Linked DNA regions of Drosophila melanogaster. The protein of the gene in region 3 interacts with the protein of the main gene of each other region in a pairwise test. Each region holds a gene or a part of one and is shown on either strand. Other genes may lie near its edges.

What was found. Proteins that work in one complex are often made in the same cells at the same time.
Region 1: the proteins of RpL34b (region 3) and CG9593 interact in a two-hybrid assay, tested with the Drosophila melanogaster proteins (one large-scale study listed by BioGRID).
Region 2: the proteins of RpL34b (region 3) and CG3386 interact in a two-hybrid assay, tested with the Drosophila melanogaster proteins (one large-scale study listed by BioGRID).

Annotation. Positions count from the first base shown.
Region 1 is NT_033777.3:15,800,499-15,804,421, forward strand, and holds CG9593 (uncharacterized protein), read left to right. Parts: upstream 1-1,776; 5' UTR 1,777-1,783; coding exon 1,784-1,789; intron 1,790-1,841; coding exon 1,842-2,271; intron 2,272-2,328; coding exon 2,329-3,041; 3' UTR 3,042-3,155; downstream 3,156-3,923. Other genes in the region: nsl1 (non-specific lethal 1), read left to right, coding at 1-523.
Region 2 is NT_037436.4:679,894-684,207, forward strand, and holds CG3386 (uncharacterized protein), read right to left. Parts: upstream 2,578-4,314; 5' UTR 2,470-2,577; intron 2,427-2,469; exon of another isoform or gene 2,381-2,426; intron 2,301-2,380; 5' UTR 1,964-2,300; intron 1,894-1,963; coding exon 1,480-1,893; intron 1,418-1,479; coding exon 965-1,417; 3' UTR 769-964; downstream 1-768. Other genes in the region: ebd1 (earthbound 1), read right to left, coding at 3,173-4,314.
Region 3 is NT_033777.3:9,399,364-9,403,158, reverse strand, and holds RpL34b (ribosomal protein L34b), read left to right. Parts: upstream 1-1,932; 5' UTR 1,933-1,963; exon of another isoform or gene 1,964-2,136; 5' UTR 2,137-2,152; coding exon 2,153-2,217; intron 2,218-2,280; coding exon 2,281-2,722; 3' UTR 2,723-2,922; downstream 2,923-3,795. Other genes in the region: CG9356 (uncharacterized protein), read left to right, coding at 1-316, 386-535; CG8132 (uncharacterized protein), read right to left, coding at 686-1,518, 1,574-1,592; CG34117 (uncharacterized protein), read left to right, coding at 3,220-3,525; Or85f (odorant receptor 85f), read right to left, coding at 3,608-3,661, 3,724-3,795.

The DNA.
Region 1 (3,923 bases), 6.4 Mb from region 3:
GAACTTTCCGCTCTCCGACGAGGTCTACCAGCGATTGCTAGCCGAGACATATGCGCCGCCCAGGTCAATGACCGTCTCAAAGCGGGCCAAAAGCAAGTCGATATCCTCGAACTGTGATGGTGGGAACACCTTCACAGGAGGCAGCGGCAGTCGGCGCAGCAGCAAGTGCAAGATTAAGCCAAATGGTCAGCTAAATGGCCAGCTCAATGGCCACCCTGCGGCGGCGAAGTTGAACGGAATAGATGCGGCAAATGAAGGTGGAATTTCTGAGCCGGAAGAGGAAGAGATGCTGCTAGAAGACGAGGATGACGACTATCCCAAGCATCATCTGGCGCCGCTGGATGACGAGGAGCCGTCGACACCAGATGTCGAGCATGAGCTTTACGACTCGGCGATCGATGCCTATCTCGCTGATCCGGAGGCGCTAGAGGAGGATATGGGCGAGGATCCCTTCGAGGACGACGATCCCAACGATCCGGAGTGGAAGACACGGACCGAGGGTGTTCGCAGCAGACGCATCTAAGACCAAAATCCAAAGTTTTCGTTATTTAAGACTTTTAAACGATTTGTCAATTTTTAAAGCCACAACACACACACACCCACAAATCAGCCGGAGCAGACCAACAAATTTTAATTTGTTTCAAACGGTTTGGTTTGCACTCACAACAGCATTGCGTACTCTAAGCAATCGTCTAAGTTATTTAGTTCTACGAGCCCACAACAAAAAAAAAAAACACAGATACGCTACACACAAGTACACAACAAAACAAACACGAAGCAGAAGCGAAAATCTTGAAACAATGTAAATACAAGCTAAACGCATAGAGCTAAGCAGTTACTGATAATTGTACACTAACCAACGATCAAGAAATCATCGAACGCACCCACCACGTCGCGTGGACGTGGTGGATGCGGTCGGTTGGAGCACTGGTCAGCGGTTAAGTAGGCACCACAACAAACCCACTTGGGCTTCAAGCCGAAGTGCGCTAATGATAAAAATATTAAGCTAATCTAAATATATATATATATACGAAAACATTTAAATATATACCATATGCATACATTAACGTGTAAATGCCGAAGAGAGCAGTTAGCTGAAGATTTGAAATGTATTCGCACCTGCACACAAACGATATAACAACTAAGCTATAGAAGGCAATTATCTGTAAATTGATCAAGCTTAACCATTAGCTAACCAACCATTAGCCTTTAGCCCAGCAAGTAATCAGTCGGCGTTGGGGCCGTGTTTTTCTTATATTTTAAAAAGTTTATCAGCTGTAAATGTATAGAGCGGAATTCGAAAGGCGGTGTGTGAAAATGGATCGAACGATAAATGTATGTATATGTATTTTAGTTGCTTAGGCGTTTTCATTTCTACCTTATAAACACGTTAGCGGCTAATTGTAGCAATTAATACTATAAAACACAAAAAAAAAAACAAAAACAAAAAACAACAACCATAAGGAAACCTAGCGCGGCTATGTCCGTGAAAATGTTTATTCTAATTTCGTTTTTACTATCTACTGCGTATGTTTCACCGCAAAGCTAGAATCCAGTTTAATTCGTTAAAACTTGAAAAGAAATACAACAGAAATGTGAAGATTAACTAAGGACCGCAAAAATACAGAATTATATATTCTTAAAAATGACACATGGAGCGCCAGAAGTGATATGCTGGGACCACCATCGCCAGATGGTGGAATCTGGCCAACATGTGTGTCGAATAGTTTCACTAGCTGACTTCACCAGTTGACTTCAGTGGGCGATTGAACTTGGAATCGAAATGATGGTAAGGGCGGACAACGCACTGGCGGCTTTAAGGATACTGACTCCCTTTCAAGAAGTTTTCATTGCTTTTTCTGCTGGCCTGGAGCTGTGTGTTTCTGGGAAGCACGGGTTCTCTAAATCGGATTGGGAATTCTGATATAGGCTTTAAATCCTTGGAGGAGCTAGTCTTGATTAGAAAGACTTTGGCTGCACAGGCACTAAAGCTAAGGGGCTTGGAGATAAATCTGCATCGCGTGCTCAGCAAGGTGGTGTTACTCGCCGATGCAGTTGTGCAAGTACCTGGAAGATACTCCTCCAAAGAAGATCCCCTTGCCGTTCTATCTGAACGTCTAAATTTGTTGCTGGAGCGACTGAACCAGGAAGAAAGAATATCTACGAATTTGCTGGAACTCAAAGAGTGGTCAACTAAAGTGTGCCAAGAACCTTCCCCAAGCCAGACCTTACCAAAGGAACTTACTGAAGAAAAGGACGAGCCGAAAGTGGGCAAGTTATAGTGTATCATTTTCAAGTTTCATCGACTCACCCGGTGACATTTTCCAGACTTTTACCAGCCCGCCAAATCCGATTGCCATGAGCTTGACGAAGGTGTCCGGGTGGATGGCGTCTATAGGTTTCTGGTTCCGGAGCGCAATGAAGTCCAGCGTGATTTGTACGAGCGTTATTGCGCCTTCGCCACCGACGGCCCCGCCTGGACAGTGATCCAGAGTAGAGGCGGCTCCTTCGATCCGCACGAAAATTTCAATCGCAGCTGGGACGAGTATCGCGCGGGTTTTGGTAACTTATCCCGAGACTTCTGGTTTGGCAACGAGTTCGCGCACAAGATTCTCTACCGCGACGATCATGAGCTGAGAATTGAGCTGCAGGAGGCAGGGGAACCGCTGGATTGGGCGGAGTATCCACTCTTCTGGCTAGACAGCGAGAGTTATAACTATCAGCTTTCGGTGGCTGGTGAATTCCGTGGTTCACTACCGGACGCTCTGGAGCAGCACAATCGGATGGATTTCAGCACTTACGATCGGCGAAGGAACCACGCGAAATCGGCAGATTCCACCTGTGGCGAGGATTACGGTGGTGGCTGGTGGTTTGATCGCTGCACACAGTGCAATCTGAATGGAGAACATGGTGTCCACCAGAGAGCAAGTCCAGCCATTATCTGGATGAACTGGCGGACCGGGACCGATAAACCGAAGAGCTCGCGGATGATGATTCGACCCGTAAATCCCACTCCGGGCGATAACTCTGATGGGGATTAGGCGGCGGAGAACTGGGAAATTTAAATAGCAATTCCAATCAAATGTTGCACGTATTTCTGCAATTGAACGTTACCGATAGTTGGCACTGCAAATAAACGTTACCGATAGGAATCGAATTTACTGGCACTTTCTAAATAATTCTGTGTTTATTCCTGATTTAAGCTGTTTCCATTATTATGAAAATTGGAAGGTATTTTCGTATCATAGGATTTCCTTAATTTGTCTAAAATTTGAGGAAAGCAGGAATTTATCGAGTATTATCGAATGAATGTGAGTGAAAGCAAGAAAAGTCGCGAGCTAAGCATTATGGGGCGCCAAATTTATGAATTTCAATGATTAAAATGAAATATGTTTAAAATGATCTTGGGGCAACTGTTTACAAAATTTATTGAGTCATTATTATAATTATTAAGATAACGTTTCTTCGACAAGAATTGCACACAATTTACTCAAGTTTACAATGTAGTTACCACACAATGGCAAAGTTTTGCTTTTGGCCACAAAATAACCTTGCACGAAGCTAGTTATAACCCAGCGACCTTAGATTATTAATAAAATTTACCCTAAGATTATAATAATTTCATTAAAAACTGCAATCAAAGTTTCCCTTTTTGTTCGCATTGGCGCTCAATGTGGCCGCAGAAAAATACCGCAAAACGACAGTAATAAAAAAAAGTACTAAAATGTACACATATGACTAAAACCAACGGCCAGTCGTCGATAAATTTTCAAATCGTTCGGTTGCGGGCGGATGATTCTTGATTGTTTTAGTCCTAACAACATTGCCGCTCGGACGCATTGCGGCATTTTATTGATTCGCGATAATCCTTGTGATAATCAATAATTAAGCATAGAGTCAGCGGATAAATTAAACCAATAAAG
Region 2 (4,314 bases), on a different chromosome or scaffold from region 3:
CACGCTAAATTCTTGCCCAGTTCACTGCACCCTTGCAGTTTTGATAGTTTTGGCAGATTAGGAGAGACGGCAAATGTGCAATCTAATATCTATTGACAATTGCTGCATCACACATATTGAAAATATTATCGATAAGCCTTATTAGTTTTTGCAGTTTTGCAAGCAATACAGTGCGGATCCTGAGAGGTCTCACTGTGTCTTCAAGGTTCGCCTTTAGAAGTCAAATGGCTCGAAGAAGTCTAAGCGGAATGTAGAATGTAGCCAAATATAGAACACCTACCACAGATCGCATTAGTTTCTTTCTTTCCTACGATATTTACTCCTTCAAAATCGATGCGCAAATGGTTTTTAAGGACCAGCGCCTGCGCAGCACTTGACCAAATTCAGGTAACGGCGAATCTTATTTTATCCACTTCAACCACATACGATAGAAAATATTAGGGGAGAGATGTGTGCGTGACAATTAGATAGTGGATTGTACATCCGATAGCTCAGGTAAACAACAACCAAACATACCTAAAACTTAAACAACTCTTTAATTTAACGTAAAAATAATCGATGACATTTTATGAGCGAGTTCCGAGAAAACGTTTAATAAATTATTACCCCATTGGGTGTTCGTGTTCGCACAACATAAGACTCTCATCTCTACATTTTATGAGTGAAACATTCGTTTGAGTGAAAGTCGATTTCCAACCCTGTTATGATTTGGCGGGAAACTTAAATACTTGGATGAAATTTTTTGTATAAAGAGACATTTCATATTTTGTATTTGTAGTACTTAAATTCTAGTTTTCTAGTTTGCAATGCCTCGTTCATCGTTATTATGGCCTGAGTGATTTCGAACTTTCTTTAGAGCCGTATGCTTAGTTCTGTTTTTTTGAAGACTTCAATGAGATGTTCATTAAATCGTAGAGTGACAAATGCAGGAATATCAAATGACGTAATAGTAGAAGTCAAGGGTTTAGAAATGATTTGCCACGGTGCTCTGTTGTTCGCCGCGGTTTACTCGCAGGTTGCCCATGCATCCCTCAAACAGGATGTCTGCGATGGCCTTTCGTGCCAGAATCCGTTGCGTGGGGGACATTTCCTCGTACTGGATAGCCCAGGATCTGGCCAGAACTTCGGAGGACTCGCTGAGTTGCATGGGTGCAGTTCCTCGTTCGTTCTCGGGATCTGTTTGAATCGAGGATGTGGGTTCTTTCGTTTCCAATGAATTTCCCAAACTATTTTCCTCTTTGACTTCACACTGCCCTTCTTCCGGCTCTATGATCTCCAATTTTGGACTGAGCAGGGAACCCTCTTCGGATTGCGGGGCGGTCGGTTCGGACTGGTAGTTGAAAGCGTTATCATCCTTGATCGGCCAATCACAAACGCTTTCCGTGTTGAGATCTGGATTTTTCAAGGGGTATTTGTCCTATGAGGTACACAATTTATTTATTTTTAAGTATCATTCAATCATTGAGAATGTAATCTTACATCCTTTTCCCTGCGAAAATCTTGCTTCTGTCTGCCGCCCCGACCTTTTCTGGTCCTGTGCTGGAAGGTCTCCTGGGTGAGGAGAAATCCCATGTAGTCGTAGAACCAGAGCGTCGGCTTACAGAGATCGGAGTGCAGCCCCAGCTCCTTCTGCTTGAGGATTCGCATCTGCTCCCGCCTGTAATTGGTGCGAAATATGTTGATGCGCCTGCCGACTTCTGTGCGCGTAGCGTTCGGCTGTATCTCCCGTAGTTTCCTCTCCAGCAACTCATACGCCCGGTTTCGCAGCTCCTTGTTCCGGTAATTGAGGTGGTGGACGTCCCACAGCTCCGGCATTCCCTGATAAAGGGCCAGAAACTCGCGCCAGAACTGCCGTTTGCCCGCACTAAACCGATCTGGCAGTGCAGCTGCCATCTGCCAGCACAGCATTCAGAAAGATACATTTAATTACCATATCCATTGGCATATAAACATAAATATTTACTTTTTCTGTTGTTCAAGCCAATCAGCTGTTGTTGATTACAGTTGGCCAGAGTTGCCACTTCTAGCGTCTAGTGTTGGTAAACACCTCACATACTCCCACTGATTGTTGTAGTTGCTCTGGATCTGGATGCTCATATATGTATAAACTTATTTCCACCACCTGACGACCGGCGTTATGCTCTCCTCAAGCGACAATCACAAACTGAATTGATGTAGAGCCGAAACGGGCGGGTGTGTGTGCATGTGTCTCGATTGAGTGATTGATTAGCCGACTGACCCGATGGGCATGTGCATGTGTGCGTGTGGAAATGCACAATAAATCATTTGATTCCCACATACTGCTTGAAAACAAAAACGTAGCTGAATCCGATTTTCTTATTGTATTAGTTTTAATTATATGGATTAAACAATGACTTACAGCTCCCCCGCAATTTAGGTGCACGTGTGTGCGGGAGAGGAAAGCAGCAAATATTCAGACTTTAACTAAGGGCAGACCTGCGCACTTACCCATCTTAGCCCCAATCAAGATTGTCGGCATAAGGAAATCATCAGCAAAGTATGAATTTATTTTAACTCGCTCTCCAAAATTTCACACTGATCAGGGAAAATTTTAAAATACACTCTGAATCAGGGAAATTCTCTCTTTAACAAGATAGAATTCAATGATTGACCTCTTTGTTCCGTTATTTTCATTTACATGCGCTTTGTCTCTTTCTCTCTTCTGGCTCGCCTGTGTGTGTGTGTGTGGGTGACCTCCCGCCCGGCAAAAAAAGAAGAAGAAGCCCAACTAAGGGCAGACATGCGCACTTCGAAAAAAAAACAATTAGCGCGTATATTTAGCCGACTTTTTGTTCTGGCGAGAATGTGTGGAAGGAAATGTAGCTGTTATAACATACAACACAGGTCAAAATAATAGGGTTACAGTCGGGAGCATAGTATAAAATAGTTCCAACAGACCAATTGACAATTGACATTAGCTCATTCATCACAATATTTTATAACCACATCAAATTTACTCACTAGAAACTTGGTTTGATTGCGTTTATTTGGTTCGAATACAAATTATGTTCACCTTAGATCTAATGATTGATTGCATCCGACCGATGTGCATCTTCTAGATGCATCAGTTTGCAAAGATTACACTCTTTGGCTGCAGCTATTCCTCCTCCTCTTCGTTCTCCTTCATGTGGCGCTCACTGTTTGGAGCATTCTACGGCACATTGTCATCCATTTCGCGCATCACTTCATCGGCTCGTGTGATCAGCTCAATCAGCCGGTAGTTCTCCTTGTACAGAGCAAACTCCTCGAGTAGCTTTAGGTACTTGCGTGCATCGGCGCAGCTGATGACACTGGACCCACTTTCTTGGCCGGATCCCCCATTGTTGTTATCGTCTTGGGCGGACTCATAGCGACGTTTGGTGCCCTGGCGAGGATTCAGCGAGTTTTCAACTGCCGCAGGCGAACTCACCTTTCGCTGCCGCATCTGCTCGATGTACTCCATCTCGTCCTCCACATTGGCCGCCAGAACCTCGGCCAGCGAGGTGACACTGGAGCGACCATTGTTCGCGTCTTCATCGAGATCCGCTGGGTCTTGGTCCAGTTCCGATTCCAGCTCAGCCTCTGGCTCCACTTTTATGTGCACTGTAGGCGGAATTTCAAGATCCTTTTCCCTTTGTGCTCGGTCATCGTTCTCCTGGAGCTCCGCCTCGGGCTGCTTCGCCAGGAGCTCTTCCGGGTCCTTGGGCTCCACTTTGATTTCCTTTTCCTGCTTGATCTCTAGTTTGGGCGGCGGTACCACCGGTCCTTTGTCCTGCTGCTGTGGGGCAGGAATCTTGGTGATGCTCTGAGCGAGCGTGGCTAGTGGTATGATGGTCATGGTCATGGGCTGTCCGCCCGCTTGCGTCGGAACAATGGGTGTGGCCAGGAGAACTTTTTGAGTGGTGCCTGGCGGTGTGTTAGCTTGGAGGGGCAGTCTAACTAGAGGCGGCAAGGGCTTCAGAGCCCTGGCAAAATTTAGTTCGCTTAGTGAGGGCTTGACATCAGGCTCCTCCTCCAGATCATCCTCGCCGCTAATACCGCCACCGTCGACATCCACCTCGTCATCCTCGTCTTCTACATAGCTGCGGGGATGGCTGCTCACCGGGCTGCCCAAGCTGACCTCTTCGTCATCCTCCTCGCCGTTCCGTGGCCCACTTTCCGGCATGCTTTCCGACATGACGTCCTTGACGATGTCCTTGATCTGCACCGAGTAGCCCTGCGTGTAGCCTATCTTCAACAGTCTGGTGTCGCTGTGTTGGATGCTGTAGGTGCGTCTGAACTTGTCGCACCACTCCTGGTGCGGAAAGAAATGTG
Region 3 (3,795 bases):
GGTTGAGGAGTTAGCCCGCTGGAAAGCCGATCTCACGCAGAAGAATCAGCTATTGAACGAGTCAACGAAGCAACTGCTTCATGCCACCCATCAGATCCGCGAAATTCAGCTAGATATGCTTAAGCAACTGAAGTTCCTGGCCAAGATTCGTTTCCTCAACCTGCCCGCCACCGATGTAATCAGCCTAAGTGCCGAAAACCTTAACATTCTCCAACGCATGGTCCTGCACACTGGCGTGGGCATTCCCGAGGAGACACTAAAGTTGTCCAGCGCCAGCACAAGTCCACTTTGTGAGGCGGAGAAGTACGCGGTTAGGGTAAGTACAGCGATAGTTAAAGTGATTCAAACATCCAGTTAATGGTACACCTTATTACCGTCCCACCAGGCCTTGGAATTCATTAGTCAGCCCCTGATGGCCACCGATGAAGCCATACGAGCACTTTTCGACCAGGCCCAGCGACCCCACTACGTGCAATCACCTGCATCCGAAGTAACTCCTGCCTGCGATAATCAGCAGCTAGATAAAATGCAATAGTTTTTCGACAGAAATCAATGTTATATGTGTGTGTAGGCCTAATAAATTTTATATACAATCAAATAACATAAATGCAATGCTTTAAAGGTGCTTAAAACGACAGATTCTTGAATTTTTGAAGATTTCCCATTTCCCATTTAAAGCAATCCTTTATTTGGCCTTCCTTTCGGTGGCGTACAGATCTAGACGTCTTTGCCCAAAGACGGGAATCTGCTGACGCACCTGCTCCACCTCGGAGAAATCTATATCGGCCACCACGATTTCCTCGCCTTCACTGGCACTCTGCTGCACCTTGGCCCATGGATTCACCACCATGGAATGGCCATAGGCTACATACTCGGCGCTTGTGTCACGGGCTGGTGATGTTGTGACCACAAAGAGTTGGTTGTCATTGGCACGGGATCGCTGCAATAGCTCCCAGTGCAGTGGACCAGTGGTCATGTTGAATGCAGCCGGATAGATGATCATCTCGCAGCCTGCGTTGCGATAGAGCCTCGCCATCTCCTCGAATCGAATATCGTAGCAGATGCCGATGCCAATCTTGTGGCCATCTACGTTGATGATGGTGAAATCATTGCCTGCGGACAGCGTTTCCGACTCCTTGAAGCGAATGCCACCCTTGACATCTATGTCAAAGAGATGCATCTTGCGATGCTTGGCCACAAGGTCACCAGTGGGTGACCAAACCGTGCAGGTGTTGTAGATGGCATCGTTTTCGCCCAGTTCAGGGATTGTTCCGCCCACGATGTACACCTGGTGCTTCCTGGCCAAATTGGAGAGCTGTTGCGAGGTATAGCCATCGGGAATGGTCTCGGAGTACTCCCGAAAGTACTTGGTGCCGTATGGAGCATTAAAGCACTCCGGCAGAGTGATCAATCGGGGTTTATGCTCCTTGACCGCCGCCTCGATTTTGGTGACGGCGTTTTGGACATTGGCCACTTTGTCCTTGGAACCCTTGAGCTGCAGCAGCGCCAAACGCATGACTATTAAATAAGAAATATTTAAGTGGATCTCTTTGAAATTTTGAGAAACACTTACTGTTGCTAGTTTTGCTCATATTGCTGCAATTAAATGTTATCTTTTCGCGGTTTGATAACAGATTTCATCGCAAGCAAAACAACAACAGGTTATCGCAGGGGCGTAGTAAAAGGGATCAATATTTATAAAACGCATTATTTAACCTCATATTAATACGCATATACTTAGCCAAAGCATACTTAACCAAAAGAATATAGCATTAAATTGTGTATAAAATCCTAACTTTTCTAACAAAAAATAAATAATTTGCAACCCCCATAAGCCCATGTTTTCATGGCAATCTGGCAAGGTCTGCAGTGCTCGAAAGTGTCGTACAGTGGGCAGCGCAGCCAAGTTCACGTCGTGCGCGAACAGGGTTGCCACCTTTCTTTCTAGTTTCGTCTCTTTGAGGTATGCACGTGTTCAATTAACAATTTCACGCAAATTCGCCGAAATGTGTGAAAAAATTGTGAAAATATACCACCAAATGCAGCCCAAACTGCACCCACCCTAGTGTAACTCCAAACTAATAATGATTTTCACCGCTTTTGCACATGTAACCCACGAATCGCCACGACAAGCAGCAACAACAACAGCAAAATGGTCCAACGTCTGACGCTCCGGAGACGCCTGTCCTACAACACACGCTCCAACAAGCGGCGCATGTAACTATCCAACTGCAATACACCTCACCAATATGAAAAATAACGCACATTTGCAATTTACAGTGTTCGCACGCCCGGTGGTCGTCTGGTTTACCAGTATGTGAAGAAGAACCCCACCGTGCCCCGTTGCGGCCAGTGCAAGGAGAAGTTGAAGGGTATCACCCCCTCCCGCCCCAGCGAGCGCCCCCGCATGTCCAAGCGCCTGAAGACCGTGTCCAGGACCTACGGTGGAGTGCTGTGCCACAGCTGCCTGCGCGAGCGTATCGTGCGCGCCTTCCTCATCGAGGAGCAGAAGATCGTCAAGGCCCTGAAGAGCCAGCGCGAGGCGCTCGTCAAGCCGGTGAAGGCCCCCAAGGCCAAGCCCGAGCCCAAGAAGAAGCCCGCTGCTGGAGCCAAGGGAACCAAGGCCGGTGCCGGCAAGGTCACCAAGGGTGGTGCTGGCGCCAAGGGAGCCGCTGGCAAGAAGCCCGGCCAGAAGCCAGCCGCTGGCAAGCCCAGGAAGTAAACAGCCCACGCAACGAGTTCGGTGTACTGCTAAATAACTTTTAAAATAAATTGGTTTTTTCCAACTGGATTTACTGTTTGTATTTTTAGTTTGACAGTCCAGTTGGATTGTGTACTTTACTTATTGGTTGTTCTTGTTTTCCAATCAGACCGTTCGACTTTTAGACATTTATAGCAAAACGATTTCAAAAGTGAGAATATAATATAATTAAAATAAATAAATTTTAAATATTTCGTTTGTCACAGAGTTTTACTGTGCTCGTAGTCAAACTTTTGATGATTTTTCAGATTTATTGATAATTATAAAAAATAAGATCCAGTGTTATTTTTCAAAGTGTCAATTTGTGAGAGTGATCACTGTATATTCATTGTATGACTAGGTGGCAACTCTGTTGAGAACAGCTGTTCGGCAGAAGCAATTGGAATTTTCTTAAAAATCACGTAAGTCGTTGATTGTTTATAGTTTCTTGCAAATGCAATTAATATTTTGTGTTTAGAATGGCGGGAACCAAGGTGCTGCGCTCCCTGCTGCACGAATTGCGCCAGGCATCTCCAAATGGCTGCATCAAGGACTCTCTGGCCGCGCGCTACATTTTGGCGCAATACAAGAAGTTCGCCACCACGGAACAACAATTCTGCAAGGCGCGCAACGAAGCGACTTTCCTGGGTCAAACCTACCTGACCTACCTAGCCAGCCAGCGCCGGTACTTGGAGCTCTACAAGGAATATCACGGAAGGGGCGAGAGATCCGTAAGGGATACCGCCGATTTGGTGGGCTTCAAGCTGCCCTCGGATCCCAAGTGATCTAGTTATATAGAAAGATAGTTACTAGCGTAGTGCGATTAAAGCGTCCCGATTTTGCAAACTCCGTGCTTGTGTTTGCTGTCTACTGAATCATCTGCATGAGCATGGTTATAACCCGGTAGGAGACGCTCATCAGCTGCAGTTGAAAGCGAAATTCACATAATGTCATATAAAGTATACGTGGTGTTTGCATTTTACCTGTTTAAAGGTGTCCAGCGAAATGGACAGGTAGCCCATGGCATTAAGTTCCACGGGCTGCTGCGCCCTGAT